Linked DNA regions of Bombyx mori. The protein of the gene in region 2 interacts with the protein of the main gene of each other region in a pairwise test. Links are inferred from orthologs where the notes say so. Each region holds a gene or a part of one and is shown on either strand. Other genes may lie near its edges.

Region 1 (16,744 bases), on a different chromosome or scaffold from region 2:
CCTTGAAGTTTTAGAATAGCAGCAAATTTAATTTTTGCTAAATTCAATTTTGATCTGTCTCAAGGTGCATAACATTTTCCAATTAACATCAAATGGATTATGATCTCAGACCATGTATGCTCACTATCAATGTACATCTTAGCGTTAATTTTGTAAAAACAACTTTTTTCTCAATGCCACCATGCCAGAATAAGAAAAATTAAAATATTTAATTATTGTTTGTTCAATGTTTGTAAAACAGTATTATTTTCTATTTTAAATAAGTTGTAATATGTGGTTAATTGTATATTCATTTTTGATCCACTTTTGGCAAGTAAATGATTAATATGGCCCTAAGGTGTTTCATTAAGTTACGAAAGTATACACAATTAAGTTTCATTCTGCCTTATTTTAAAGCTAGCATGGCAATTTTGAAATAATAAGGGGCAGGTGGTCAATTATTCAACATGATAATACAATCTTTTTCTTTACCTGATAACAAGGACCTTGCAAGCATGCTGTTTTCATAATCTGGAAGGCTGTCATCTTGTTCTGATAGAATGGCAGTTGATAATTCAGTTGAATTATCATCAAGCACTTCGGTTTTCATTGGTATTGAACAATCATGCACCTGGAAACAATATAGAATATTAAATTATGTCTTTTCTGAAATGAAATTAATGCTAGTGGAAATAAGTTCAAACCTGAGATGATGTACTTTTCCCATTGGCAGTTATTAGTGGAGAGTCATTTTTTCCATCACATTTCTTGTCAACATTGTTTTCAACAGGAAGCACATTGTCAATTTTGGAAGATTGTGAAAAATTGTTTAATCTAGGAATATCACATGTATCCAGGACCTTGGTTTTTTTGTAACTGTCACCGACTGACACATCATTTGGCTTGTCTGAAGTGCTGCTTCTGCGTTTCTTTAGTCCTGGTAACTTTGCATCCTTGTGGGAGGCATTGTGGTGTGGTCTTGATGAAATTGTTAACTGAGTGTATAGTTTGTTTGATGTATTAGGTGATGTAAAGTTTTCTTTCTGTAAAATAAATAAATTTAAAACTGTACCACCATCAAAGCAAGAATACTTTGAATGATCTTTAAATGAATATGAGCATTTAATTAAAGTTCAGTAAGGCTTACTCAAAAAAAAAAACAACAAATAGCAATTTTTTTTAGTAATGTTATAACTTATTAAAGTGAGATTATCATTATTACCCCTTCCAATTTATCCATAAAATCTGCTAATGGAAGCATCAACAGATTTTGTTTTGGTTTTTTACTGTAGTTGTTGGTCACAACATCAATAAAAGTTATCTATGGTATATTGGAATCTGTTTTTCATTTCTATAGTATTTCAAATGTAATAAACGTAGAACTTTCATCACCTGTTGAGTTACTCCAGTCAGTCCTTTCACTTGCAATAAGGCAGCAGTGTGAAGAAATGAAGACAATTTACTCTCTTCAATGAAAACTTCACCTTGGTACATGTATGACAACAAGCTCACAATATCATCTGCAGACACATCTTTCAAAATGATCACTGGATGCTGACATGGGTTTTCCTGAGATAAACACAAATTTTCATTGATAAAATTCAATAGAACCATTAGGTTTACTTAACAAAATATTAAAGTATATTACATTATATTACATTTTTACAAAATATTACATTTTTCTGTAATAAAAAAAAATAAAAAAAAGTAAAATATAATTTTGTAGAACCATCATTAAAAAAGTATTGAAAATAAAATCCTTTTAATATGTGCATAAACGAACATAGCATACATTTAGTAGTAAGTAGGTATATTGTTGGTATTCGCATGACATTGCATATACCATAACATATTTACTTGTAAATGAATATGAAGGTTATTAATGTCCTAAGTCATTTACCTTGAACACATTCCTGAAGTACGGACTGCACGCTGACAAAATGACTTTGTGGGCCTTGATATTTCTACCTTCACAAGTAAGCGTCACATCAACTAAATCTTCAGAACATTTTAAGGAATCCAATGCACTCACAATATTCGATTGAAAATTGTTCCAGCGTAAACAAAATTGGTCGGCCATTCTTAAGGTTTCAATTTATATCTGCAAAAGAAAAATATTTCGCTGACTTCATTTTGACACATGACATCGAAGGAAAGAAAAAACAATTGTATTATTAATTACTCACAAACTTGTTCCGTAAAGTAAATTACATTTTAATAAAACATTCAATTTCTGTGAAAACGTATTCAAATCTTCTCTATTTTTTTAGAAAATGCACAAAAATGCAATGACCTCCATTGATTTGACACTGACTTTTTCTTTCACTTTCCTTTGTCTATGGATTTTGCGTATCTTTTTGGTCTTTATTCTATGCTTGAAGTGATGGATTAGTGATAGACCTCAGAGTATAATGTATATCCCTTTACTAAATCAAAAATGCTACTACAATTTATAGTTGATGAAAACAGACATATTTTAAGCTATAATTAACAACTCTCATAATAGCTGGAGTTCCACCTACATGCTAGAAACGTACCGTGGGGCATGCCAGAGTTAAGCTGACTATTATAATCTCCGGTGGCTCAACAGGCCATATCGCTAATACGACTAAGACAGATGTCAATAAATGTTGGGGGGAAAGGTGACATATTCCCCGAAAACTCACTCTTCACCACCTTACTCCCACTTAACGTCATTCCGATTGTCGACGTCATAACCACCAGAACTCTCAATTGGCGAGCTAAGCTGCTGCCTATTGAAAGTCTTGCGCTTACGGACTACGGGTCTATTCGTTCACTTTAATAATAAAAATAGTGTTTTGTCGTGTCGGCAACTATTTTCTCTCTGCAAAGTAATATGTCCAATGATTTGATGTATCATTCAACTTGTTCTTAGAGATAGATGAACATTATTAATTTAAAATAAAATTAAAACCTTTTAAAGGAATTTTTAAACGTTTTAGTATATTTAGTAAGGAAAACTTTTAAAGGATTTTTTTCCACGAATGAAGTATGAATATACTTTATATATTATTTTATATTACAACAAATTAGCTATGAAGAATCGTTGGTTATCTCCTTGTGAGCAATAAACACAAAATAGTGTGTAAAATGAAAATAAAAGAAAATAAGAATGTTGGTTGGTATTTTGTAATCACTGAACACGGTTTATTATAAAGTTTAGTTACGGATAATTTACTTATTCCGGTCGATATCTTCACGAGGAAATTAAAGCTTTCTCGATTTTTATTTTTCTATTCATACTTTTTGTAACCATGTAGTGCAATAAAGTCATAATTACCTCTAATAATTTCATCTCTACGGTACCCTCAAATGGAAACATAACCGTAACGTGTCAAGTTGACGTTGTCATATAATAAGTGTCAACAAATCGTTTGTTTGGCTGAGATTGAGTTGCGGTTTTTCGACTCTAGCTGCAATAATTGAAAAACTAAAGTATTACCTACGTAATTTTAAAAACAAGTACCTGTGACTTACCGTCTTAATACTAAAGTAAATATGGCAAACGATCCTGAAAGATTTGATTCCATGCTCCTAGCTATGGCACAACAGCACGAAGGCGGCGTAAAAGATGTAAGAGTAAATTATTATTTTTGCTTTGTTCACAATAATATAACAGATATAAATCATGACACTAAACAATATACTTTTATTATGTCTTTATCAAAGCGCTTAGTTGTTTCTCGTTAAATTGAATATCATTGATCGCTTGCACGTGTTGTCATAACAACACATTCTAGAAACTTGGGAGGTTACTAGTGGAAGATACCTACTTTTAAAGCCTTGATGTCCCTAATACTTTTGTTCGTAGTTTTGTTGACTTTTAGAAATAAGTAAGTTACAAGCTCATTACTTAAATATCAGACACATAATCCACTAATTTGAACAATTACATTCAAAAGCACAAAGAAAGGGACAACAGTATTATTTCTACTAATGTTAGGACAAAGTATATAATTGGAACATTTTCTTTAATTCATTGCATTTTGAATTTCAAATTCATTATTATATTCATCATAGTATTCATATTATATTCATCATAGTTATTGATCTTAAATATGATGAGCATTTTATACTGTTATGTGTTTGATAATAATTTAATAAATTATATATTTCTAATGTAATGAAATTCATCAACAACTACATTATTATTTCTTTATTTATTCTATAGGCTGAATGATCTCACAGCTCATTTGGTCTTAAGTGTTATAATTTGAGGTGTTCAGATATAAGGTGAAAGTTTCAATTGTATTGGTAGTTTCGATTGCAGAATGCATGATTTTGTGACAAAAATAGGCAGGGCAGTGTGCATAGTTTGACTTTTTAATGTTTTCAATTGTGTAAAAGTTAAATCAAATTTGTTGGGAGTTGGAATGTTTCCCTATGTCTGCTGCAAGGGGCGCAGTTGCATCTGTGAGCTCTTGCAATGTGGTCTACCACTGGTAGATTTTAAAGATGAAAAGTTTAATTATTTTTTTGTTGTTTCCAGCTGCTGAACACAATAGTTAGCTTTTTGTCTAGAAAAACTGACTTTTTCACTGGTGGCCGTGAAGGGGAATGGGAGCAGGTATATATTGCTTAAAAATAATCTTACTAGTATTTTAGATAAAAACAATATATACAGTCAAAACTGTTTACTGCGACATAGTTTAGAACAACATGCCGGTTATAATAACCTAAAACAAAGGTCCCGGCTGAATGCTATATGACCGCTGTATTAAAAACATTGCTTTATACGACATTGCTAATAACGACATACCTCATAAAACGACATAATATTTCGGAGAATTAGATCTGTTAGAACGACTGGCTAAGCTGTATTGTAAACAATTTGAATAGGTATCCACATTTGTATTAAAATCAGGAAAGGAAGCAATAGGATTTAGTTTAGTGTAGGGTCTTTTCTAATTCTTAGAAACAAAACATGTGCATGCCGTAGAGTCAAAGCCCGCTTCTTCATATCTTTTCAGTTAGTTTGTTACTTATCTATACACAAGACGCACCAAAACTTTGTGGAGTTATTCGTGAAACTTTGAAAATGTCGCGAAAAAAAAAAAAACAGTATTGAAGAAAAATCGCGTATTATATCCAAGCTAGAGAACGGAATTTCAAACAAAGACTTAGCAAAGGAATATGGTGTAGTGGTGTGAGTGGGACACTCGACATATTTCAACCATTTGGAAAGAGCGAGAAAAAACTCAAACGCTTTATGACAATAATTTTACAGAAAAATAATATGCATTGTACTTATGTGTAATAAACATAATGTACATAGTTGAATAAATATAGTTTTCCAATAATTCTCTATCTATTTGTTTGTACTTGCACGATACACATTAAACATCACCGTTTGTTACGACTATCGGTTTTTACGACTGAATATGAGCAGTCCCTTCGATGTCGTTATAACAGATTTTGACTGTATATATATATTAAAATAAAATCATTGATAACTTTGCTTAGGCAAATAGTCTATAAAAGACATTAAAACTTAATAAATTTTCATATATCATAAATAAATTTGTGGATAAGATGCATTAATTTAATTAGGCAGCAGCTATACTATGCTATTAGTAATCCCTCTTGGGTCAATAATTGAAACTTGATTTTGGATAAATCTCCAATGTACAGTTTTGTTTTTTCAGGTAGTCAAAGATACTTTCTACACCCATGCTAAAAAAGCATGTGATGAAGCTAATAGGATTAAAAAAGAAAAAGAAGAAGCAGACAAGAGATTAAAAGAGATTCAACAAAGAAAAGAACAAGAGAGACTTGCAAATGATTTTGAACCTGCTACTGTAACTGAACTCACTGATCAGGAAGCAGAGAAGTTAAAGGAAGATATTGAAAAGGACAAAAATGAAAAGAGTATGATTTCTTTTTATTAATAGTTGTATTTATATTATTTTTCCACCCAAAGCTTCACCTGCGTTATCTATAATTTAATTTGTTTAGGCACATACCCAGGAACAGAAGTAGGATGAAAGAGAGTATATTCTCTCCCAAGTTCATTTTTAAATTATGATAATAGCTTTTTTTGTAAAATCAGATTTTAATAGTAATTCAACAATAGTAAAGTCAATTTATGCTTGCTTCAATTATTTTACATTAAACATGTGACAGAATTTATGACCTGACTAGATATGCATTGATTATAAGTATGTTACCTAAAGGACTCTCAGCACTCAGTTTCTTCTATTGATATTAGACTGTTTGCACTGCTTACAACCATCTTTGACATAAAAAACGAACTGATTCTTTAAGTATACCTGCAGGAATACAGAATACACAATAAGATATCGGTTAAAATCAAATTGAATAAACTTTGTAGAAAAAACCTGAGATAAAATATGAGAAATATCAAGTCCCTAAATTATTAAACTTAAATTTCTATCATTTTAGATTATCATTTCTGTTTGGATTTTGATTATGCTCATGTTTATAAGTGGTCTTAAAAGGACTTTATTTGTAACATATTGACTAGAGCAAGCACCATCACACTCCTAGGCATAAATATAATGACACCACATCAGTATATTTCCTTCATATATGCAGATGCAGAAGTTGGCAGTGGTGATAGCAGTGATGTTACTGAGCCTGCAACGCCCGAAGAAGATGACGATCCCAAAGAAAAGGGGAAGTTGAAACCTAATGCTGGAAATGGATGTGATCTGGAGCACTACAAATGGACACAGACGTTGGAAGAAGTAGAGGTGAGTCATTGGTATTAAATTCAGTACCATAGAGTTTATTCAGTTATTATCCATTCTCTACTTAAATATCCGGATGCCTCCAAAGAACACTACTCTAACTCAAAAATTTGAAATTTTCGTTTTTCACGCAAATCGCTTCACTATGTTAAAAGTATTGCAATTAATCATTATTAATGGGGTTCGAAGCAAGAGTAAATCAGCTAGCTACACAAAAAAACCATAAATATATCTGCAATAATAAAGATTTTATCAACTTTTTTCGTTTAAACGCTCCTCCTGTAAATCTACGAATTTGGAGTTAGCGTAGTGTTCATTGGAGGCATCGATCTAGTAAAATGCTTATTATATTTTTAAGAGACTCAATGGTGAATAAACATTACATGCTTCGCTGTACATGCATAACTCTGTATAAACTAATAGCTGTTGATACATGCACACTGTCTAACGTGCGGTCTTTCTATTGAGAGCCGTAGATATTTGCAACACAAAAAACCTAGTTTTGTGTGCTGTGTTAGTTCAAGTTGGTGTTAAACGTTTACTGCAATGAAATGAATTGAAAATTTCATGTGACCGCCACTTTTGAGACATGATTTCTAAATCTTAATTGTATTGAATACCTAATTTATCTTATTATCTAATTAGGTACCAAAATACTTAATACACTGCTGTGCTTTCTAAAGATACTAGTCGAAAACTACAGCGGAGACACAGCAGAGTACACTACTTTTTCTTTACATAGTTCAAATCAAAGACAAATTTGTATAGTGTACAATAGAAGAATACAACAGCTTTCTCCTTTACTTTTGATCATACAACACGTTTGTTTACCGAAACGTCTTTAGCTACTTCATCGACAACCTTGAAATCTCAATTGCTTTAGAATAGACTACACCCTAAATAATTTACGAACTACTCACGCCCTGACGGGTAAGTCGTACGTTGTACTCGTATCGAATTCGAATATACCACATATTTAATAAAAACTAGATGATGACCGAGCTTTGCTCGACTTTTTTTTTTGATAACGCCATCTTGTTGTGTCTATAAAGCGGTTATTTGCCCACAATAAAAAAAAATAGTATTATTATTCGCCGACAGATGTCGGGAAGAGTTGATTATTGAAAACACGAATAAAACAACATTTTCTGAAAATAAATCGTAGCTAGATCGATTTATCGCCCCCGAAATCCCCTGTATACTAAATCTTATGAAAATCGTTGGAGCCGTTTCCGAGATTCAGATTATATATAATAATATATTAATATACAAGAATTACTCGTTTAAAGGTATAACATATATTATCACAAATTTCTTTTCATGATGAAGAAAATTGAGTCATAAAAATCGAAATTGTTAGCTGGCACAGGTATCTCTGGAGTATTACTACGAAAATTTGTCACGTTTTGTAGTGTGATGGCTGGGACAGCTGTGTGCTCAACCTATCGGCAAACGTAGGGGCTCTGTTCAAACTCCATACAAATTTGAGTTAACTTTTACTCGATCGAGAAGTTAAAAAACTCGCACTAAGCACACTGCTGTGTGTCTGTGGGTCTCGGGCGGTGCCGTTTGGGTTGTGATATCTATGGGCTTGGTGAACCAGACGAGCCTTGAAATCCCCCAAAGGCAACAAATAAATACTAAACCAGCCACATTGATATTTATCTCATCTAGAAAAAAAAAAAATTTTTTTTCATCGCTTAGATTGGTCGACGAGCTCACAACTCACCTGGTGTTAAGTGGTTACTGGAGCCCATAGACATCCACAACGTAAATGCCGCCACCCACCTAGAGATATGAGTTCTAAGGACTCAGCGTAGTTACAACGGCTGCCTCACCCTTCAAACCGAAACGCATTACTGCTTCACGGAAGAAATAGGCAGGGTGGTGGTACCTACTCGGGCGGACTCAAAAGTGGTCCTCACAAGAGGTAAGAACCATTATCTGCTACTTAAAAAAACAAATTAGTTTGAATAATAGTTTATTTTGTTTCATTATCACAGTTCAAAATATGTAACAAATTCGTGTTTCATTGTAATCGTTGTTCACTTGAATATCAATTAATATTACATAAAATTACTACATTCGCTGGCGAAAATTACATCAAAGTTGCAGTTTTTCATGAAAATTACGAAAAAATGCAAATTTTATTTTTCAGAACATTGATGCAAATGCAGTGTCGTTACTAAAATTACTTATTGCTTAAAAACTATTGTGGTATATTAAAATAGCTTGAATTTGAGATACAATTAGACTAATCGTCAATATGAATAAAATAAACTTCTAACAATTTACACTAATAATAAAATACCGTGTACATCAAAGTTTAGACTAAGATTAAATTAATGAAAAAAAAAACAACTAAACTTTAAGTTACAATAAATAATAGGCTTTTTCTAATTTTATTTACCTAAATTCCAGTAAACTGGATTTTTATTGCACTAATTCATGAAATATACGTAGTTGCTTATATAAAACAAAACAGCTTGTTGAAATTCTGAAAGAATATAGTTCACAATATAACGAAATTTTTTTTTTCAATTTAAAACATCGTGTATCAAAATTATCTAAACATTTGCTGTTAAACTACGACCAAATAGTAACTAATAAGCTGGTAAAAACTTCAAAGTTCTGGTCTTCTTTGAAACTTATGAATATTTGTACATGCCGGTCTCCTTGCGCATTCGCACTGAAAAAAAAAACAAGACATTAAAGTTAATTTGCATTACTGAAAATGAGTTTATAGAAAATAGTTTTTATTTAATAATACTCACTTTCGACAAAGCATATCGCTGCCAGTATACACGCAGAGAACAATATAGTCATCGTTATCACAAGGACGGTTATCTGGTGCGAGTGATTACAACAGCAGGATTTGTTCTCCTTGTTCGGACATTGCTTCGTATAACCATTTACAACTGTGAAGTGAGTTGAACTAGCTATAGAAGTGGCGTCTTGGTCGCGCGAGCATTCCGTCTTCACGCCACTCCAAATGGATTCGTTGTGATCGTGTGGCTCCTCGGGAATCGCGACCACTGCTTCTGGAAGAGCGTACTTGCGTTCATAGCCGCCGAACTTGCTATGATACGGACCCAGCTCCTCAGTGTTGCTGCTCCGTCCACTCATGCGTGCCAAGTGAGCCGCGCTGAGTAACAATGAACCCGACGAAACGCTCTGAAACAGTGCAAGTAATTTTCAAATGATACCTAAAGGCCACATGTTATTTATTAGTAGAGGAGGACTTTTAAGAGGCTAAAAATTTTACAATAAAAAATATATATAATTTATAAATTGACATTAAATTTATGACCTGAGACGGTAACTTGGTTCGACCACCTCACTAGTTCGAATGTGCCTAAATTTTTGCACCTTAAATAAAAAGAATCGGAAATGCCTAAAAAATCGCGTTAGTAAAAGAATGGGTTTATGCATGCAAATGACAGTATTGTATCTGTACTGGATTGTGTCGTGAACATCCATGTGAATCCTGAACCGGACTCTGTAATACCAGTCAGTTCATTGATCTCGTCAATTAAGAAAATTAACGAATACTATGACAAAAACTATTCAAAATGATACAAACAAAAAAACTACAATTATGTATTAAATTAATCAATTAGAGGACGTCATTTGCAAAGTCAATCAAGCACCAAATTTACATCAACTTGGGCGGAGCGAAGTTCACTTTTTGCCTATAACCAATAAATCTTGTACAACAAAAAAGTTTATTGTATGTTTTTTGATCAAATGCTGGATCCGGCTAATTTACGTAGTGTCCTAATGTATTTAACCAGTAATGTTACTACGATGCATTAATTAAAGCGGAAACGTATATAGATGCCTATTATTTTTGTGACGCACAAATCAAAAGGTCATCTTACGTGGGTGCTATGGTTGCTAGAAGAGCCTTGGCTGGAGGCGGAGCCGCCACGAGATCGTGAATCGTTGATGCTACCGGATCCGCTACTGCTCGATAAAGAGGGGCGAGGAATATGCCATTCATGCGTCGACGGAATCTGTAACAATATTGTATTAATTTCCAACTGACTTAACGCACAATATATTATTTACAGGTCATGTTTAACCATACATACAAGTTTCTTGTATTTAACCAAAATAAGTTTTCGTTATTTAGATTTAATTCGCTATTTAAGCAAAAGAAAATCGAGATAATGCCAAATAAACATGTTTAGTTTGAATTCGCGTGGATGAGCTTATGGCTCATCTGAAATCAAACGGTAAAGTAATTATCTCACTCTCAATTATATTTAAATAACTATTTACGCAAAATGGGTTTCATGCAGAAATAAATATAGTTGTACTAGAAATTGCAGGCTCGTAACAGGACTTATTGAACAAAGGTATTCAAAACTTATCCCCAAAAAAATAATAGAAAATAAGCCAAGCACTGTGTTGTAGATAACAAAACACTTTCAATCGTCCTCCTCAAAAAAGTAGTAGGTACATTGATTGATTAAATAAAAGTTGCATTGGACGTGTTGATTGTCTCGTCTCGTGGTTTAACCCACTTTCTATTCGTCATATCGAAGACGCGTACCTTAAATCTAGCTCTTAAGATTTTAATGATAAAAATCAGTTAAACATGCACACAAATACAAGTACATATATATACGAGTATATATGGGTATTTTTTTAATAATAATTTGGAAAGTGTTCCAATTTAAGCCTTGGCCTTGAAAGGCCTCCCTTTATTGTTGTTTTAGTGAAGCTAAAAATTTCGATCGCTTTGTTGATAGATCGCGAGTCATACGCATTCAATCCTTTTACAATTAATTGCTATGCGTCTAGTATGTCTTTGTCAGTCTTTGTTTTATACTCGATTGTACAATTACGTTGATTCTTTGATTGTTTACGTAATTACCGTTTAAAAAAATTAGGCTTTGATGGAAATTGTTTTTATTTGTATGTTCGTTAGGGTTACGATTGCTTTAACGCTTTTTGGGAAACCGACTAAGGAATCTGTAAATTTAAATAGGGTACATATTATTAGGAAATGCAAAATTCATGTAAATGTTAGAAATTTTGCACGGAAATCGTGTTAAACCTCTTCCTTGTCGGCTCTTTAATTTGCAGAGATGCCGCCGTTCCGTGTCGTCTTGTCTCCCTTTCAATTTCAACACAGTCACTTTTATGCAACCAACGTGATCTATCGCCGTTGTGATTCATGGCGATAGAATTAAAATAAATGAATTTTATAAAAAAACTCTTAGTTTTTCCATACATTCTTTTTAAGGGAAATTTATAAATTAATAGGGAACACGTTTCAGTTACATCAATGACGTTTTAGGTCAAGTTTTGTTCGGAGTCCGATCGATTTTGTCAGATACGGTGCTCAAGGTTCGTGTTCTCTTTATTTGCGGTCTCGTTTCGTCGGCCTCTGATGCAATAAATCTTAGCTTTGCTTTCGGCTTCATGGTCCTCTTTGTTACTTTGATAACGCGATGGATAAGCGTTTTAGGCAGTCGGTATCATTAATGCATTTTACTTTTATAGTAGCGCCGCGAGGTCAATTTGATATTTTGTTTTAGACGATGCCGTTACGAGAATTACGAAATACGAATCGCAAGGTTGAATTTTAATTTATTTAATACGTTCCGAGTTTGCGTTGACCTATGCTGGTATTATTTTACGGACACGCTGGATGCTGGGGGACAGTATATAAATAATGCAATCGGTACAACGTCCTAACATGGCATACATTGCGAAATGTTTCGGCGAGTGCAAAGAACCGGTTCCGGGGTTCGCATTGCTGCTTGGAGTAAGTAATGCCTTGACAGCGTCGTGTGCCCGCAATATATGCTAATACTTTCATTATTTATCACATTTTTATAAGATAATTGAGGTTTTTTTTTTGTATAAATTATTTAATTATATTTAATACTGGATGACCCGGCAGACTTCGTAGTGCCTCAATCGATAAATAAAAGACCTAAGCTTTTGTATAAAATAAACTTAAAATAAACAAAAGGAATCGGTCCGACGGGGGACACATCATAGGGAAAACAAAATTGTTATTTTTATTTCATTCCGATATTTTCATATTTATCTGCCTTTTAAACCTTCTCTGGACTTCCACAAATAATTCAAGACCAAAATTAGCCAAATCGGTCCAGCCGACCTCGAGTTATAGCGAGACTAACGAACACCAATTCATTTTTATATATATAGATTTGTTGGCAATTGCCAAAATTTGAGTATGGTTTGCGCCGGTACATGTTAAGATTTAAGAAAAATTATTTCTATCATTATTTCTTCTATCATATTTATATCATTTCAGATAACAAAAGCATTTTCCAGTATAATCACAGTTTTAACGTAATTAATTTTCTTCTTATTTCTAGCGTTTTCCCGGTCTAGTGACAGGGTCTGCTTTTCTACTTAAAATCCCCTAATTTATTATATATCGAGGAGTGAAAGGCTTTTTGGTTTAAGCGACATTTTTGCAACCTTACAGAAGAGTCATTTAAAGTTTAAAATTTGGAAAAAATATAACAAAAAACTTCTTCAAGTGTTTGAATGAAGTAAACTTAATTGTAGTTCAATTAAAAACATCAAACTGTTGATGCTAATTCCAAATAAAACGCACCTTTAATTACATAGATAAATGTCGCATATTAAGAGAAATGTCGCTTAAACCACAGCCTTTCACCCCCACGATATATTTTATAATTATACGTAATTAATTTTAACAGATTATTTTTTTATCAAGCTATCTATCAAGCGATATTTAGATCTAGTAGTGAGTGATTGAGTGATTCAAATAGTACCCGATTTGTCTTAATTCCGATTAAAGATTAATGTACATGAAACCTACGAATAAATAATATATTTGTTAGTTACACCTGCGCCGCCAATTGGTGGTACAATGTCGGAACCTCTCCTAGATAGTCAAACTTTTCAAGTGTTTCATTGTAAACACGCTTAAAACACGAAGTCACACGATGTTTAGTTTATAAAAAGGTCCTTTATCATTTTTAATAAATAAATAGAAAATACAATTGTCTTTTATCCCCGTGATCGTGGCCTGGGTATTAAAATAAAAACATTATAGGGTTGTCATAATTCCTTGATACGCGTGCAAATTTTCTAGTTAATCGGACCTTTTTGATGTTGCTTTAAATTAACATGAAACATCCTTCACATATATCTATTAAAAGCTTGTTAAAAGCCAGAAATATTCAATATTATATACTAGATACTAGAGTGTTGCATAATTGTTAAGCACGTGTTGGTATATGGATATACGGGCACGATTCGGAATTGATTGTAAATTACACGAGGTGAGAACTATTTCGCAGATTCCACGAGAAAAAGTCTTAATTTATTAGGCCTTTTAGATCTCTAGTGGACATTTCAGAACATGTAATGCCTTATTACTATACTGTTAATATACATTTAAACTGTATTTGTGTACAGAGTAACGATTTAATTTAGGGCCGCTACCAATACATACAACAAAAACCCAACCGCTTCGCGTTTTACACAATGTAAACAGATGACTTCATTTACGCGCTAATAAATCAAATTGATTCCTACTTCAAAGCAAAGTAGAAAATTATGTATTATTTTTTCATAAGAATATTTCAAAAGTCTTAAGTGTCGTTATTAAGTAGGCTTTTTAAAATAATTCGACATTTGTAACGGTGACGAACCCGTCCGTGCAATAACTATAGACAGGTGTTCAGTTGTGAAACATGTTTGGTTCAACGAGACGGTCTAGTTATGCAAGAACGGTAATCTTTCGTATAAAAAGTCAATGCGTGCGCTTCGTCATGCGTGCTTATAACGGTTAATTGTGTTACCGCGGAATCAAAACTTCTCGTAACAAACTTCAAACGTGAACAAGAACTGAAAATTGTCACTTGCGTTATATAATTTCACAAAAGTAAAATACTAATTAGCGTTTCGAAATATTTAGGTTACAACAACAAATGCCCTAACTTCCTAAGTTAAAATTTCAATACGCCACTCTCGCTTCGGAAGACATTTTTGTACAACTTTCATAATCTCAAACAATGGCCGCTACATTTATTATGATAATCAGTTAACTTACTGGACTGTTCTCCTTTAGAAGAGAAAGCGTTCGTTCCTGATCCGAACCTCTTCTTGGAATACATTCGTAGAAGCAAATGTCATGCCACGATAAAGTCGAATAAAAAGTTTTAAATGTACATGGCAGTTTCAACGTTTCAGGTTGTATGTTTTTTACTGGTGGTAGGACCTCTTGTGAGTCCGCGCGGGTAGGTGCCACCATCCTGCCTATTTCTGCCGTGAAGCAGTAATGCGTTTCGGTTTGAAGGGTGGGGCAGCCGTTATAACTATACTTGAGACTATAGAACTTATATCTCAAGGTGGGTGGCGCATTTACGTTGTGGATGTCTATGGGCTCCAGTAACCACTTAACACCAGGTGGGCTGTGAGCTCGTCCACCCATCTAAGCAAATAAAAAAAAAATAAAAAAAACGTAAATATGTACTTCGCAACTTACAACATCGGGTCATGTTATTGAGCATCCAATTATCATATTTTATATGCGACTGCATGAGGACACAACGCAACGCCGCGTCGCTCATTGTTCAAGCTGGTCACAGACGATGACATGATGCTTATGTTAGTCCTTGAACTGAATCGTTTTGTATTTAAACCAAAGGGATTCGTGTCAATGCAAATCGCCATGGACACTGACAATTGACAGATTATATTGAACACGATATACGGTTTAAGTACTTTTTAAATATATTTTAGAGAGAAACACGGTTGCCACGAAATTTTAGGGAGAATTTTATTAAAATACTAGCTTTTGCCCGCGACTTCTTCCGCGTGGAATAGTTACTTTGGCATAACGCTAAATTTTACCCGCGACTTCATTTACGTAGAAAGTGAAAATATTTTTGAATAATAGAATGTTTAGGAACTATTTAAGGTACCAAGTGATGTTATATAGCCTATAGCCTTCCTCAATAAATGGGCTATCTAACACTGAAAGAATTTTTTCAAATCGGACCAGTACTTCCTGAGATTAGCGCGTTCAAACAAACAAACTCTTGAGCTTTATAATATTAGTATAGATAACATGTATGTTATATTTAAAATTTACATCTTTGTCAGCTTCTTGAAATCAACCCTAATAGAGAAAAAAAACCGACAACTGTAGCTCGTACTGAGTGCATTCCTCTTAAAGTTTAAACTGACCTTTTATATTATCTTGTTCTTTTACAAAAATAAAACAGCTTTTAGGTTTCCTTTTTAATTCGCTTTACTCATAAACTATGTTGGATTTTATAAAACTTTCAAATTAATGAGCTATTTGCCATCAAGTAATAATAAAATTTTTGAACAAAAAAAAAACTGACTTGCAAACCACAAAGATATATCATGTTTTATACTTTAACACTGCACTCCGGTCATGGAAACCAGGGGAATACTTTTGTAATAATAATTCATATTAGTATTGAAATTTGTATGCTTAATTTAATAATCAAATATTGATTTTTATATTAGTAATGAAATTGATCAGAGCCAATTACAGAATCCGGTTGTTCGGAATCTGGCTCGGTAATGTTTTTTTCCGGAATTCGTTTGCGATGATTTGAAATCCACGTATATTGATCCTTTCCTGTACGATGCGGTCATCATTAAATTCCGAACACCGATTAAAGCTTCATAATATTGTTTACACGTCCGTGAAGTGGGATGTATAACATTAGAAAAAGTGACCGTGAGATGGGTTGGTTAGCCGGATTCTTCTCTCCGTTTACGATACGATGACATCATTTGCTTACGTCTAAGATGTGCGGTTATGTTACGTTAATTACACAAAAAAAATGCTTTGTGTGTATCATTAAAACTACGATTATAGTATGCACTTAAATACAATCAACCGAGAAATGAGTAACGCTACAATGATGAGATCGAACAAAGAATATCGGAATGGAGTTGCCCAGTAGACTTTTATTGTTATACACTTATTTAAATCGCACAAATCTCTGATCGTGGAAATAATTAACTTGATA
Region 2 (17,342 bases):
ATCTTTATGTTGTATGACCATTTTTGCAGACTACAATTATTGCATTTTTACGTGTTTTAGCATATCCAGTTGCATATCTTTTGTAACGTTTTTATAAATTAGTCTCGCTGAAGAAATCAAAAGGTTTCCCGTCAACACAAATTTGCACATACTCGTAATTTAATCTTCGACTATATAAAATGCATATTACAAAGTCTTCTATCTTCTTGGAAATGTTTAACATACCTATTAGAATCAAACTCGTTTATAAGATAAGACTTGATTACCTTATACTAATACGGCATTCTTGGGAATGATGCTGTAATGTTAGTAAATCGCAAATTTACTATATTTATATTATTCTTTGAAATATATTGTGGATTTAATAAAAAATAATGGTTACTGTCATTGGCATTTTTAATGGTGCTACCTTCGTTTAACCTGAAATGTGGCAGGCGCATATGTCGAGCCAACATAATTTCAAGATAATTTAGCGTTACATATACAAATTCGAAACCATATTCTGAATGTCGGTTTATCGGGAAATGACACCTATGTGCTTAGTGCGAGTTTTTTAACGTTCTCGATAGCGTAAAAGTTAGCTCATATTTGTATGGATTGGAATCGTTTGCCTACGTTAGCCGCTAGGGGCGCTGTTCCAACTGCGTACAAAATTGGGTTAACTTTTACGCTATCGAGAACGTTAAAAAACTCGCACTAAGCACACTGCTCGATAGAGGACATTCCCTTGCAGTCGTTTTTCATAATAATTATGATCAACCTTAAATACGAGTATTATATGTTAACAAAGAACATAGCTTTAAATAACAAAACGTATCCAGTAGGAAAGACATTTTATTTTTCTCCAGAAACAGTTTTCGGAATATTTAAATAAATGGTTTTTGGTAAATACTGAAATGGTAGAAAAACATTATAACTAATTTATTATTATACAGGTGAATTCAGAATTTCATGAAAATGTACTTTCCGATTTAAAAAAAATCGGTTGTCTGTAAAGTCGGTTTACTGATAGTTGAACGTGACAACGTCATAAGAAAATACTGATGGAATGGTTTCATTTTTCAATTATCGCAATTATCGTTGCTATAAACAATTGACACCACATTCACTTTTCACTGAACTTCATACTTGACGAAAACATGTAAATGTATTATTGTATAGCAGCTGTCCACGCGGATGCATCGCTCACTCAAGTAGGAGAGAGACAGATGTCGAACGCTGCCGAACGCGGAGGTCGATTGTGCCTCTTTGTCGCTCGTTGCGCGCTCTCGCTTGCAGTTCAAGCCTTAAATCAGTGATTATCAAACTTATTTCTTTTACCGCCCCCTTTGAATGTCAACTATTTTTCAGCGCCCCCCATTTTTTATACACCCTTAAAACTTTAAAACCACAATTTCATTAATTTAATTAATAAATGTTGTATTAATTTTAGTAAATGTAGTTAGTACACGTAGTACATATGTATTTGTAGATGCTATTATTTTTTCTTCATATTATTATATGTCCGTATATTGCTACAGAGCGTGTATTTACAAATTTGCAAAGTAAAAATGAATTCTTCTCATCAATATGTTTGTTTAAATTCAGAATTACCAAAATAAATTGCTAGTTCACTGTACTATTACTATGCTAATTAATTAGAACGAAACTATTTTTGTTGAATATCTTTCTCATTAATATAAGATTCTCATAATAAGATAATTAAAAATTTATATTTCGACTAGTAAATAATACTACTAACAATAATAACTTAATAAACTACGAATAAGCTAAACCTGGAAGTCGCAGAGGATTTCATTTAATTGGGCTCCGTCATAGCTAGTAATGGATCCTCCGAAAAGGACCTCAGAAGGCGAATCAGTATGGCAAAGAGAGCTATGTCCCAAATGGACCGTGTTTGGGCGGACAGAAACATCTCGAGGAATACCAAAAAGCAGCTCGTCACCTCCCTCGTCTTTTCCATTTTTCTCTACGGCGCAGAGACTTGGACCCTCAAGAAAGCCGACCGCCTACGCATGGACGCGTTTGAGATGTGGTGCTGGAGGAAAATGCTCGGGATTCGTTGGACAGAACACAGAACCAACGAATCCATTCTTACCCAGCTCAAGATTCCAATGCGCCTCAGCACTACATGCGCGCGGAGGAGTTTCGAGATCTTTGGACATATTGCCAGAAAGAGAGGTGACAATCTGGAAAAGCTGCTGGTAACAGGCAAAGTATGCGGGAGAAGGCACAGAGGCAGAAATCTAATGCGCTGGTCGGACCAAATACGCTCCACTCTCAATACCTCAGTCCACGTTGCTATCCACACAGCCGAGGACAGGCAGGAATGGCGCAAGATGATGCAGGAGAAAGTTATTAGAGGAGGCCACGACCCTCAGCATTGAGGATTATCGACGCAAGGTGGAAGAAAACTACGAAAAATAAATTAATATCATTTCTTATTATAGATAAATATGGGTAATTTTTCATAGAATATTAGTTTATAATTTAGAACTGGTTCAAATAAAAACCGCCGCCTAAGTCAGCGTTTTTATTATTTGTAATAATTAATATCTATACTAATATTATAAAGAGGAAAGATTTGTTTGTTTGTTTGTATTCAATAGGCTCCGAAACTACTAAATCGATTTGAAAAATTATTTCACTGTTTGAAAGCTTCATTATTCCCAAGTGATATAGGCTTTTATTGTTTTTTGAAAAAAAGTTCAATCAGTGCGGGCTAACCTTCGTGCCCGGGGCATGGCACGTCCCAGCCCCAGTGTGGTCAGAGCGCGGAGGGCCCAATCTCGGCGGTCCGTGCTGGAGTCATGGTCCAGGCGGCTGGCCGATCCTTCGGCTGGTCGTAGGACCGTCGAGGCGATTCGCCCGGTTCTTGTGAATTGGGTGAATCGTGACAGAGGACGCCTCACTTTCCGGCTCACGCAGGTACTCACTGGGCATGGTTGCTTCGGTGAGTTCCTGCACCGGATCGGAGCCGAGCCGACGGCAGAGTGCCACCATTGTGGTTGCGACTTGGACACGGCAGAGCATACGCTCGTCGCCTGCCCCGCATGGAAGGGATGGCGGCGTGTCCTCGTCGCAAAAATAGGAAACGACTTGTCATTGCCGAGTGTTCTGGCATCGATGCTCGGTGACGACGAGTCGTGGAAGGCGATGCTCGACTTCTGCGAGTGCACCATCTCGCAAAAGGAGGCAGCGGGGCGCGTGAGAGATGCACAGGCCCGCCGCCGTCGAGCGGGGTCCAGGGAAGCGGATCTCGCCCACGCCCTAGCCCTCTAAGTGTTTCGGGTCTCCCTCACATGTCAGCCTGGGAACCGGCGAAGGGGGTCTAAGAAGACGACGTGCAAGCTGCTATGCACACGTTTTACGCATGACAATCCGGGTAATGGAAGGCCGGCTATCCTCAACCCGCGCTGGTTCTGACCCAGCGGGGTATTCCGTAGGATAGACCATTCTAACCGGCGCCATCTAGGCGGGCTTCGGACAGCCTGCCGACCGAGAGGGCTGGTGGTCGTGGCGCCGACGACCGCCAGTCCGGCGTCCCGAGGGGGAGGGTGATGGGAGAGATGTGCTCCGCACTAAACGCTTCGCTTTCCCCCCTGTGCCTTTTCATGAGCTCTGTCTCATGCGAGGTTTGGATGCTGGTTGTTGAGCGACCGGAGGTTTTAGTCGGTTCGACTCCGACATGCCCCGCCCTCCATCCCCAGTGAAGGGCGGAAGTCCGGCGATTTCCTCCTAATAAAAAAAAAAACGTGTGGCACTCGGGAACTGCGGCGGTAAAGCTATTGCATAGCATTTTTTATCAACTTATGACATTATAATTAGACAAGGATAATTTAATAATAAGACAATCATAAAACAAGACCACGCTATATTAAACCTTAATAAAGGCAAAACCTTAACTGTCCCCTTCACACTCATAAGCTAAACCGCGCGAGAGAGAGATGGGCAGACTTTTCATGATGCGCATGCAGTGTGACGTCACGCCACGCGCTTATTCACAAACACTACACAAGCGCAACGTGTGAATGTGTTGAACGCGAGCTACATGGTAGGCGGAGTGAGGGGTGTTAGGTTTTTGTCGTTACGGAATTTCATGATTCGGTCGCCACGCTCAAGGCCCGCGATAAAAGCTATGCAATAGCTTAAAAATGTATGAACTTGTAATAAAATCTCTTTGGCTATACTATTTGTATCTGGCTGGTTTTGGTATCATTAAAAGTTTAAATTCGAAAGAAGATAATTCCAAATTAAAATTAGGAAGATGTGTGATTTTTATTTATTTTTCGTACTGTCAAGATGAGTGAATCTAATGAAGATATTCGATACATTTTAAAATTTTACTACAAAAAGGTAAAAAAGCAACGCAAGCTATGAAAAAAAAATTGCGATGTTTATGGACCTAGTGCAGTGTCTGTGAGAGTAGCACAAATTTGGTTTAAGCGTTTTCAATCCGGACATTTTTATGTCAAAAATGCACGTCGCTCTGGTCGCCCTATTACGGATAAAATCGATGCCATTTTTGAAAAAGTGGGGCAAGATCGGCATATCAGTAGTTACGACGTAACTGAAGAACTGGGAATTGACCACAAAATAGTTATAGCGCATTTGAAAAAAACTGGGTACACAAAAAAGCTCACTGAAAGAAACCTAATGAACCGTGTACTCATTTGTGATTCTTTATTACGACGTAATGAAACCGAACCATTTTTGAAGAAGCTGATAACTGGTGATGAAAAGTGGATCACGTACGACAAGAATGTACGAGAAAGGTTGTAGTCAAAGGCCGGTCAGGCTTCACAGACTCTGGCGAAACCCTGGTTAACTCGCAACAAGGTGATGCTGTGTGTGTGGTGGGACTGGAAGGGCATTATACATTATAGCTGTTACCACCAGGCAGGACCATCGATTCTGAACTCTACTGCGAACAACTGATGAGATTAAAGCAAGAAGTTGAGAGAAAGCGGCCGGAATTAATCAACAGAAGGGGTGTGGTTTTTCATCACGATAACGCTAGACCTCACACATCTTTAGCCACTCAGCAAAAATTAAGAGAGCTTGGCTGGGTGGTGTTAATGCATCCGCCGTATAGTTCTGACCTTGCACCTTCAGATTTCTACCTGTTTCGGTCTCTTCAGAATTCTTTAGGCAGTGTCAGGTTAACATCACGAGAGGACTGCTAAAACCAATTATCGCGGTATTTTGATCAGAAGCCCCAAAATTTCTATAGCAATGGGATCATGTCCCTACCTACAAGATGGCAAAAAGTTATCGAACAAAATGGTACCGACATACTTTAGTTAAATGTGAATAAACTATATTAAAAAATGTTGTGAATTTTCTTTAAAAATGCGAAGAAAAATTTTCCCCAACCTATTATTATATAGAAATAAAATAGTAATGTTTACAATAAGTGAGCTGTTTAGGCTTACTATACTATTTGACATTGGACGGTAATGGGTAAATTGTAAAAAATAATAATCTAAGACAAATTTTTGAACAATAATTATATACGCATTTCCATTTTATATAAAAATTATGATTCTTACATCAGTAATTTCTTATAAAATGCTAGGAAAATGCTGTAAAATGCCCTTATGTTAAAAACAAGAAAGAAAGTAAAGAAAACCTCAATTTGTGTTAGTTTACGTATGTGTAATATTTTAAAACTGCACGGTAGTTTTTTTTCTAATGTTTAAAATAATTTCTGGTGCAATGTAATTAAGGTAAAATTGCTCTAATTTTTTAACTATCATCGATCATGTTCCGCAGAAACTTGTTACAACTTGATGGCGTACGGTGTGTGGGCTATCCTGCGAAATCTATGTTAATTATTTTAAGTTTTTATAACATCATAAAGGGTAGAAGTATAAAGTAATTATTCGTTATTGTGTAGTAGGTGGTTTTAATTTTAGTGAAATTTAAAATACTATAAAGTAAATGAAATTACAAATTTTACAGCGCCCCCCTAACCCACACCAACGACCCCCATTTTTTCCTAGGCCCCTTAACGCCCCCCTGTAGGTTTCAAACGCCCCCAAGGGGGCGTTATCGCCCACTTTGAGAAAGACTGCCTTAAATGGAACGCCTCTATGAGTCATGTTTTTTCGTGCGTGCAGCCAGCTCCATCGAATTATAAGACGTTGTCACGTCAGTAAAACTTTTCCTTTATTATATAACTGGTTATGTATTTTTAAGTTTACTATCCAATTATATCCATAACATCATCTACTCAGTGTGCTTAGTGTTAGTTTTTAACGTTCTTGATAGCGTAAAAGTAAACTTAAATTTGTATGCAGTTGGAACAGCGCCCCTAGCGGCAAACGTAGGCAAACGTTCCAATTCAATAAAAATTTGAAAAACAATAGTGATGGGAACATTGAAACTATTGCTCACTTTGGTAATGGAATATATTTGCAACATACGATACAAAACAGGGACAAATAGTATTTTCATAAATAGAGATTCCGAACGACGCGAAATATCGAATTCAAAATTATTATTTATCTGTAATCCCTAGACGTTTATTTAAATTTTAAACTTAATACAGATCAAGCAGGATTCAAAACAATTACACATCATGTCATTAATCTCTCATCATCATCATCTTTTATTAAAATCCACATTAATTACACTCAATTAATAGATATTATTGTTATAGTGCTTAACCATATTCACTGACAAGGTTTGGACTCATGTTATGTATTATATGTATAATATTTTGTTTTATTAATGACATATTTTGGTGTAAAGACACCCCTACCGTTGTGAGTTTCTATTTTATTTAATGACAACCCTAAACACATTAGTGCTACTAAAATAAAAAAACTGGACTACTGAACTGTTTTGTGTATTTTTATGGATATTATATGTAATCAAAAAGAAAGTATTTAAATAGTGAAATTGCGTCAGATATACAATTGCTCATCATCACATTTCACTTAATCAGCCTTTATGCTAATGGAATCTTAATTTTTATTAAAACAATCAAAAAATTAAGTGTGTATTCCCCTAGGTATTATTTAAATGGTATAAATTTAATACAGACTAGATAATGGAGGAAAAGCATTTTGTTTACTGACAACCACTTTCTTGTGTTGGTATGAGATGTATCCTTTGATTTTTCCATCATATATGAGATTTGCAACAATACATTGAGTTTCATCTGAATCAACATCTTCCTGTCCCATGATTTGTAATGCTGCCTCGAAGCTGGCTATGTCTATCTGATGTGAATTCTCCGCTAAATATACTTTCCTAAACAAATTTCTGTATGCTGTAATCTTTAATTTTTCTACAATCAAATAAATACCAGCCGTTATGAAGAACTTTTCATGTTCCTCCATAACCATATCGATACCACGCAAATCTCCATTTTTCACAGCTGATATTAGATCCCAGAATTGTAGCAAATCATATTTCTCTAGTAAATATTTTGCGGGCATGAAACCCAACAGCATTTTCACAGGAACTAAATAAGTTAGAATGAGCCTTTTATTTCGTATGCTTCTTCTGTGACAATTTTCAAAAGCAAACGATAAGTATTCATCAGCTAGACGATAGTCTGAGTCAAACATGGCTTTACGACCCACAAAATATCTGTATGTAATTTGTTGGGCCAGTGGGAATTGATCTTTGAATGGTGAAGAATCAATGGCTCTAATCAATGGTTTGCAAAGGTGGAGCTTGTTTATCCTGAAATATACTTTAAGAAGTTGGTTTACAAGACACAACATGCCTATCTTTTTGGTATCCACATCTGAAGCTCTGTTGTCAGCAGCACAGACTCTGAAGCAAGCTAATAAGCTCTCTGCTGCTTTTTCCATAATTTTACTGCCATTTTGAGCTGAAATATTGACAAATGAAATTAATTGTACAGAATACAGATTATTTAACACAATATTGACTAAGACAACAACTCATGCAAGTATTTGAGATAATTTCGTTTTTTCGACATTGTACCACCATAACAGAGTTGAATCCTACCACCTGTGAATATACTGAGCACTTAGGGTTAGTCATTCTTCAAACAAGACTAAGGAGACAAATCTTGAGTAGAAGGGAACCTGCACTTAAACAGCCACCAGATGATGAGTGGTTACTAGAGTCTGTAGACGTTACTTTGTGAAGTCTGCCTTAAGTGATGAAGTTTAAGGCTGAATTGTATAGTGTAATTGCTGCACTATTCTTCAAGCTAGAATACATGATTGCTTTAGTACAGAAACAAGCAGTTTGGTAATACATACCTAGTTGTGCAAACTTATAACACAACCGACCATCATAAATACTATAAGATCTCATTTCTATGACACATTATTTTCCTTGGCATTTGAAGATTTCAATATGAGTACTCCAGGCATCTTATTCTTAATGCCCTAATCACTTGATACTATTACCATCTTATCTTAGCTCTTGAATGATGTATGCAAATTCATACTTACGGCTAGATGCCTCTGCTTTCTGTGCAACAAGTCTAAGATCTAAACATGCAGCATACATAACCGGAAGGCACCAGTTCTCTTCTTTCTGTCCCTGTAATAGCTTTACGACAGAGGCCACACATATACTCTGATGATCGTATGCCTCAATGTAATCACTTGCATATAATGCCTGGAATGCAAAGCATTTTTTTTTATTGCTTAGATCGGTGGATGAGCTTACAGCCCACCTGGTGTTAAGTGGTTACTGGAGCCCATAGATATCTACAACGTAAATGCGCCACCCATATTGAAATATAAGTTCTAAGGTCTCAGTCTCTGACCGAAATGCATTACTGCTTCTGACTACTACTGACTCAAGAGGTCTTGCCACCAGTAAAAGTATTTGACGAGAAGCTAATAAAACGATATATTTAAAATACACTTAACAGGTAATGTTCGCTGTAGTAACGGCCAGATTAATAATGGTACATTTACTATTTTTTAATCTATATTTATCAATTTAAAACCAGAATTAAATTCATATATCTCACCTTAAGACATGATAAGTGTGCAATTACAAGTTCATCTAATGGAGCAACACAATTTCCTGTGACAAGGGTTGCAATATCGCTAGATAATAGATTCCTATTGTAGACATGTTCATCTCTTAGAGACAACAGTCTAGACAATATGTTACCTTGTCCCGTTCTGTACATACGTTCCACACATTGTATGTATTGATTAAGAGTGCCAGTTATCATCGACATTGTGGTTAGGTATTACTGGATTTTTAACTTTGAATGACTAATTTTAATATACAAAATTACAAGAATGTAGTTTTTCCTATAATTTCGTCAATCGACATTTCATGATTGATATTTATCAAAGAATCAGAGTTTATTAGCGCAAAATCGGTCTCATGAAAACATTGAAATTTTGTTTTCTTTATATGTCATTTCCACTTTCCACAGCTCAACTGGAGAAAGGATAAGTTTTTCATTCCTTGGATAGGCACACGGAAAGAAGTCTATACCGCTAAAGCATTTGGAAGGCCAAGACTATACTTATTATGTGAAATGGAATGTAATTAAGTGAAATCAAATGTTTATTTATTTTTTTAGATGAAGTGAATTATAACAGCGGCAACCATACATTTTTTTTTGTTTGAGACACAAATTGCAGGCATCATACTGTACTAACGATGGGTTAATACTGATATTTGTCAATATACAAATATATTCGTTATGTAATATTATAATACCTTAACTAATACGTGAATATCCTGATATCTTAATATACTTTGATAAAACGGGTAAACGAGTTAAACCTAATACGGTATTCGTGAAATAAGTTAATAATCATAGATAATACACATTAGTTATTAATAATATAAATAGTATATTGTATCTAGGAATTTGACTTCAAGGAATCAAGAAATGAAGGTTCAAACATTAAAAAGTAATGCATTTAAAAATTCCCAAGCTGTATTACGAATATCTTAATGAATACTAATATATCGGTCTCACCCTTATACTGTACTGTGTTCCATTTAAAAAAGTAACCAGTGCAGCTATTAAAGGAATGGCTTCGCAGTATACTAATTTTACATTATATTTTACAGTGCTCCCAGTGTACATCGGAACATAGCCTTAAGCATTAACACAGGTGCGAAAAAGCTAGTGAACCACTGTTTTATACGTTTAAGCATAAAGTAAATGAACAAAATGTAACAAGTCACATTAATCCTTTTCTCACGATCCCGCCTAAAGGTCTTGAGCTTTTTGTGTCTGTTACACGAGAGTTTGTTATTTCTACCAGATAGCCAAAGGGAATCTATTTTTATATTAAATTGATGTACCGTATTTGCAGCTAAAAAATAGATAATATGTAATGCCTACACCTATCTGACGCAAACGATACATATTAAAACGAACATCAATCTGTGCACTTAATACACGAGAAGGCTTGGGACTTTTTGGCGGGAATGCGAAGAGTGAAGTTGTGAGATTTGTTTTATTAAATTTTTGTCTATTAAGTGTTTCTTCAGGTTTAAATGTGTAATAACGGTGGTTTATTAACTATTTAGTATCTGTGAAAGTGCTCGTTCGTCCCGTTTCATCTCGTCTCGTCTCGTCTCACTTCGTTTTCATTTTCATTTTCATTTTATGACATTTCGTGCATTGTTTTATATTAATCAGCTTCCTTCATTTCATACCACTTTTCATAAAAATAAAAATAAGACTTGACTTAAAGGTCCTACTTACCAGGTCATAAAATCCCTAAAAATTAAAAAAGAAGACTTTGTTGTTCTTTATTTACACTTCTAAGTTTTTGCTTAAATCACATTTTAAATTACGAAATAAAATGGAAGAAAACGTTGCGTTGGATTCTAGCAAACAAAAAAAGTTTATCAAATCCATTAAAGGATTGCAAAAAACTATAAAGGTAGTATTAATAACATTATATATTTGAGACTAGGTTATAAAAAACCAGTGTACTTATTCTTATTTATATCACAGAAGAAAAAAACGCAAGCGAAGGATCAGACCCCCGTCACCCCTAAAGTACAAGAAGAGAAAATAAAAAAAAAGAAACGTGTAAGAGGGCTTGTTTATTTGGGACATATCCCACATGGATTTTATGAGGTTGGTTACAATTCTTTTTTTGCTTTAATTGGCAAACTACCGTCCCACCGTCGAAGAAGAGTCCCTGTTGTTAATAGACCGCCTGGAATAATTTGATTTGTTGTAAATACCAATAAAAAAAACGTACAAAAGGTCATTTATTAATTTTTTACTGGTGGTAGGTCTTGTGAGTGGGCGCGGTTAGGTAACAACCACCCTGCCTATTTCTGCCCAAAAAGCTATACTTTACAAATTATTTGCAATTATTTAGACTCATATCTTTTGTGGGTTTTTTTCAGCATCAAATGACACAATACTTCAGTCAGTTTGGAGGTGTTTCTAACTGTAGAGTGATCAGATCAAGGCGCACTGGCAGATCTAAAGGATATGCATTTGTAGAGTTTCATGATCCTGCTGTCGCACAAATTGTTGCTGAGACCATGAATAATTATCTCATGGGGAAAAGATTGATAAAAGGTATACATTATTATGTATGGGTGTAGATCAATAAACATATAAGCCCATTATACCTCATCTAGTGTTAAGCCATCACAGGAATCTTAAATGCTTAAGGCAACCTTTTGATAGACACTCAAATTATCCATAGCTTTAGAATAGGGTTCAATTTACTTACAATAAATAGACACAAATAGGCAATATAGTAAATCAAACAAGACAATCAGTAATTATGAGACATACTTTAGTTCTTCATTCAAATATTTTCATTGTGATAATTTTGTTCTAGTTCCTATAGTAAAGTGATCTGATAATAATAGCATGGTACTAAATATAAGCAAGGCTGATGATTTGTGATGTAGACAGAAAACACTAGAGCTGTGTGTATATGGACATGAATGCGCATCTAAAGTTTATCATTAATTATAAAATTTTAATAAAAAAATACCTAATAAAAAATATTCTCAACATAAATCAATGAATGAATTCTGTTTGTTGGGAAGCCTAAAAAATTCTAGTAATCTTACAAGAGTGTCACTACTATATCTAACATTTTAGTATTCATAATTTTCAATCCATTTTCGATTCTGTTATGTATTAATGTTGCTTAACTAATACCTTAACTTACTGGTGAAACAAATTTATTTTGGCTAAACCTGGATGACTGGTAAAAAAATAAAAATACATTCATTTTCAGCTGCTTACATACCACCTGATAAACGAAGATGGGCCATGAGATACACATGGAACCCTCAGAACAATCCTGTCTTAAATACGAATCTGAAACTTAAAAAAGTATGTATTAGAAAATATTAATTTTCAAATGTCTATAAAGATTGCCCAAGCAAAATCTGGTGTACTCAGTATTATTAAAGTAGATAATGTATGTTGCACATGTTAGTGGTTTTTGCAAATTGCTAATGCCAGTTCTCTATATCTATTATCTTTGTGAATGAAACTTGTTTTTTAGTAAATATACATGCCCTTGCTTTGTATGTGGTTTTGACACCCATAACATAAAATTCTAACAACAGCAATTGAATGTGGAATTTTTATTGTAATGTTTACCATTCAATCGTAAATTTATTGTTAAAATATGTTCATTGAACAATGAAGATGTGTTGATCATAAAATTACCATAAGAGATATATTGCACCTTTAGAATTATAGAGACCCAACCGAAAAAATGTGTTTTTTTGAAAAAAATTTCAAACTGAAAAGACGTAGAAGAAGGAGACGGTGTGAAAGAGATGGACAAGTTTGTCCCTTTATAAACGAAAAACATTCTAAGTCAATTTTTTAATGAAAGTCAAAATAAAAAAAATTACGAAATGGGTCTCTTAAATTCTAAAGGTGCGATATATCAAATATTTAATAAGTAACTAAAAATAATCAATTGTTTTTAAGCAATACAACGCAGTAAAGAGTGATGCTGAAGAATTAAGAAGTGCTCGTAAATTAATGAAAAGGTAAGTTAATTATTTTACTGAAAGTCTTGAGTTTACTGTACTAGTGAAATTTGTTACATTATCACCCAAACTTTTTTTAATAAACCAATTATCATATAGACGGCTGAACAAGCACACAGTCCACTTGGTGTTAAGTGGTTACCATAGTCAAATGCTGCAACAGAAATGAGTAGGTTGGTTGTACCTACTAGTGCCACCTTGCATTACTAGCTAGCGACTAAGATACTAAGATCAAAACAAGATCAGCATCAATAAAGATTTTAGTCAATTAATTTTAAATTATGTTCTTTACTTGCTGTGTGCATGTATCTATTATAATTAAATCTAATTAACTCTGATCGAAGCAAATATGTCTATTTTGGGAAATTGTATGATGAACCAAAAGAATATTTCCAAATAGGACAAGAACTAGTAGATTTAAAAAAAATATTGATTATATATCTTAATTCCATGTTAGTGCTAATAATGAAATTAAATTATCTACACTATTTTCTATTTTTCAATTTCAGTTTAAATAAAACAAAGAAAAAGTTAAAGGAATTGGGCATCAATTATGATTTCTTCATGCCCGTAGATATCCCAGAAGAATTAACAGAAATTGAGTAAATAAAACAAGGTTTGTAAAATGAATTCGTTTCTCATAATACAATGCAATCTGATTTCTATTAATGAATTACTTCATGGTTTTTCCATAAAATCTCGGCTCCTATATGCTATTCAGTGTCAATGTGATTATTGTATTGATTATTATTGCTTGGGTATGTTGTTACAGTACCACAAGCGACACTGAGAAGTTGAAGCTTAAGAAGCAGTACAAAAAGAACCCCATCAGTAAACAATGAAAAAAGAAAAAGCAATGTATAATATTTAAGTCAAAGTAAATACAATACAAGAAATGTTTTTTATTTATTTTTTGCATTTTATGATTAAGTGCGCGGCGTCAGCCACACAAGACCCGCCGAGAAAAATTGACTACCGACTAAACCTCACTGGGCTCCAACACTCCGACTTCATGAAACCCACAGTACCGCAAAATGCGCGCCGAAAGTCCGCCTTCGTCGATACCCGTCCTGATAATAGAGCGGGATTTCATCCCCGGGAAGATTCTGCAAGACGTCGCCTCGGGGGGGACACCGTGAGCGGCGCACAGGAGCCACCTTACGCCGCCTCACCACTGGATCGACAGTCGAGCACCAGGCGGCCCTCCGCACCTGGCACCCGACGACCTCTACGGGAGACGAACGGGGCTTCGCACCCGCGCTGCTCATTCCACCTTCTTCACTGAGGAGCCGAAGAGGGATCCCACTTCCTTTCGTGCTCTTCAGCTTCACGGGACGTCACTTCACGTCGTTAAACCTGGCCATGGCGCATGACGAAGGGCTCGACGATTAAATTAACCCGCAGACACAGCCCACTGAATTTCTCGCCGGATCTTCTCAGGGGGTCGCGTTTCTGATCCGGTGGTAGATTCTGCAAAGCACGGCTCTTGCTAGGGTTCGTGTTAGAAACGTCATCAGGTTTGAGCCCCGTGAGCTCACCTACTAGTTAAGGCTACGCTGATATAGCCTCTCAAGGCTATCAGCTTAGGCAGGAAAACAAAAAAAAAGGTGCGCCAGAGGGTGACAGGAGTTCGGCCAAGTTCCTCCAGCAACCGCTCCTTCCACTTGGCGTATGCTAAGATGAGGTGCAGTGCGCCTCCACCGAGCTAAGGCGCAGGCGACCTCCCAGGAGATCATACTGTATCCCCTGAAGACCCTCACCGCTAGCGTCCGCTGAGTTCGGAGCAGCAAACCGCGTTGCACACGGGAGCGCCGTACAAGGCCATACTTTTTTTAAACTACCTATGCTGATAACTTTGAGAGGCTATTTCAGCGTAACCTTAACTAGTAGGTGAGCTCGCGGGGCTCAAACCTGACGAGGTTACTAACATGAACCCTAGCGAGAGCCATGCTTCGCAGAATCTACCACCGGGTCGGAAACGCGACCCACTGAAAAGATCCGGCGACAAACTTTTTCTTGGGATCAGCACAGTTAAAGAAAAAAGATACTAAAGTTAAAAATGTAAATAGATGCAATTGTTTACAGGTACCATTTATTTAATTTGAAAAATTATGATACAAAAAATATTTTTTATAAATTATATTAATTCTTATAATTACCATTACTCTTTGATCACACATTTTCGTAACTATTCTTAAGGTATGTAAATATTGAAAACCTTGTCAAAAAGTTTTCGAATTCCCAAACAGCCGGTCTACATTATGTAAGAACCTTTATACCCATTATAGGGAATTTTGCTGTTTATGTATATAACTAATTTAAAAAAATCTATTTGTAATATTTCTTATTCTAACTAGTTATGGATTCGGTGTATTGAGTAAAAAAAACTAATTCTTTAGCCCCATGCAGTCTGTAAATTAGTAATAAAAGTTACTGATCTGTGACGTCATAACACATTGAACTTAATGTTGTTACGTAATCAAACCACTGCAAAAGTTTTCAACCTTGCAGTATATTGATAGAATATAATATGATAAATTTGATTTTGATAGACAGAACATATGATAAATTTCTTTTTGGAAATTTACAAACATTCAGAAAAGTTTTTAAAGTAAACAATTTTTTTTAATGTAATCAAACATTTGTTACTATGAACGATTGAACTAATAAATAATATCATAAAATTGGTTCTACATGTACACAGTACACAATTAGGATAATATCATCTACCTTGGAAAGTGTCGGTTGCACAGATCATCCAAGTTAAATGAAATATGAAAACCGTCCTTATGGCTCCTCTTCACAATGGGCCATGATGGGCGATTATAGAAACTCAAGATAGTGTAGAGGGCATAAATGTGTGTGATCGGCCATCATCGCGTATGATCGTGCGCAATCGGCGTTGTGGCGGTAGATCAAAAGAATGATGGCCCATGATTGTGTGAGCGTCCACACCATCGCCGATTAGTCAGGATGTAGTTGTCTCGAATGTGTGTCAATTGTGTCCACTTTAAAACTATGGTTGCGTGGACCTTGTTTTGGTCCGATTGATAACCACCACCCACCACCTTATCTTCTTTCATCTTGCATTGCTGAAGTCCATGGGCGACTCCGTCTGTCTACAAGAGGGATTTAAGAAAAAAAAGTTTTCACGATTCTTTTTTCGCGCACATTAACTAAATGACTATATAGACTATATAGAACTAAAAATATTGCCGCAGCCGCGATCTCCTCGATTTCCATCATCGATACCTAGACGTCTTAACATATCAGTAGACAGTCAGTAAATAAACGTTCACGATTGTGTGGAGAGTTGCCCCATCATGGCGGCGATGATGGACGATTGTTTGTTGGCCTATCATGGCCGATTGTGAAGAGGAGCCATTAAATATAATCTATTGAGTTCCATCGTCGAGTTTCACTACGACCGGCCTCTCGTCTTCATCGTCAGCGTCTAGACCAGTGAAATCCCATTGCAATTTGTCGGTCAGGTTATCTTTGAAGCGTTCAATCATCGTCAAAAGTCTGCCGTCGACTTTGCTTACGTAAGCCGTGCGGAAAAACTCACGGAGTTTCTTGTATACTAAATTTTTATTCATCACTATATCGGCTAAGAAATCTTCGGGCATCTCTTCGATTTGCACCTCAATAGTCCTAATGAAGTGAAAGAAAACACTTCTGTATTTGTGTATGGCCTCGTCACACGAACATATGAGTATGACGAGGCTCTTCCAGTGCTCAAAAGCCTCTAGGGAGTGCCCAATCAAAAAGCACAAATATGCGAATTGCAGTTCTCCTATGATGTGTAGAGGTCTGAAAAATAAAACACGTATATAGAATTCTAGATTTTGGCTTTTGTGCATTTAATCATGTCAAGAGTCGAGACTTGACTTTAGCTTCCTGATAACTTCGGCACTGAACAATGCTTAAAATATCCATCATAGACATTCAACTGTATATGTAATCAACATATGAATGTAGTATGTAGTCAACAAAATTTTATATTAAGATACCCTCAAATTTCTCTTAAAATACTAACAGTTAATAAAAATAGATACTTACTCATTATGCTGTGCTATCATGAGCTCTAATGAGTATGACTGATCTAAGTAATGTTTCGTGATCTCCTCTGGTGTTGCATCCGGTGGATATTTATCTTGAGGTATTTCTGTGAATCTCATAGCAGCTCCTGTAAAGATTCACATTTTAGAATTCTTTTATTTTTTTTTATATTTTTTATTGCTTACATGGGTGGACAGACGACAGGCTCACGGCCCACATGGTGTTAAGTGGTTACTGGAGCACATAGGCATATACAACATAAATGCCGCCACCCACCTTGAGATATAAGTTCTAAGGTATAGTCAAAC

What was found.
Region 1: the proteins of PCI domain-containing protein 2 homolog (region 2) and nuclear migration protein nudC interact in binary tests that used the Drosophila melanogaster proteins (3 or more experiments, as listed by UniProt). The link is inferred for Bombyx mori from reciprocal best matches to the Drosophila melanogaster genes PCID2 and nudC.

What each region holds. Positions count from the first base shown.
Region 1 is NC_085128.1:8,575,100-8,591,843, reverse strand, and holds the start of nuclear migration protein nudC, read left to right. Parts: upstream 1-3,313; 5' UTR 3,314-3,498; coding exon 3,499-3,573; intron 3,574-4,489; coding exon 4,490-4,567; intron 4,568-5,645; coding exon 5,646-5,868; coding exon of another isoform or gene 5,869-5,873; intron 5,874-6,555; coding exon 6,556-6,713; intron 6,714-8,678; exon of another isoform or gene 8,679-9,358; coding exon of another isoform or gene 9,359-9,399; intron 9,400-9,484; coding exon of another isoform or gene 9,485-9,884; intron 9,885-10,591; coding exon of another isoform or gene 10,592-10,726; intron 10,727-16,744. Other genes in the region: broad-complex core protein isoforms 1/2/3/4/5, read right to left, coding at 472-610, 684-1,022, 1,372-1,548, 1,880-2,059; uncharacterized protein LOC101746542, read right to left, coding at 9,359-9,399, 9,485-9,884, 10,592-10,726. UniProt on the Drosophila melanogaster protein: Chaperone protein with functions in nuclear localization and cytoplasmic mRNA trafficking.
Region 2 is NC_085115.1:3,903,308-3,920,649, forward strand, and holds PCI domain-containing protein 2 homolog, read right to left. Parts: upstream 9,577-17,342; 5' UTR 9,191-9,576; coding exon 8,975-9,190; intron 8,614-8,974; coding exon 8,445-8,613; intron 7,850-8,444; coding exon 7,041-7,849; 3' UTR 6,396-7,040; downstream 1-6,395. Other genes in the region: Nopp34 (nucleolar phosphoprotein), read left to right, coding at 10,788-10,868, 10,943-11,068, 11,347-11,524, 12,201-12,298, 12,911-12,972, 13,482-13,578; protein AAR2 homolog, read right to left, coding at 16,368-16,785, 17,035-17,161. UniProt on the Drosophila melanogaster protein: Required for the export of nuclear mRNAs and involved in mRNA trafficking in the cytoplasm.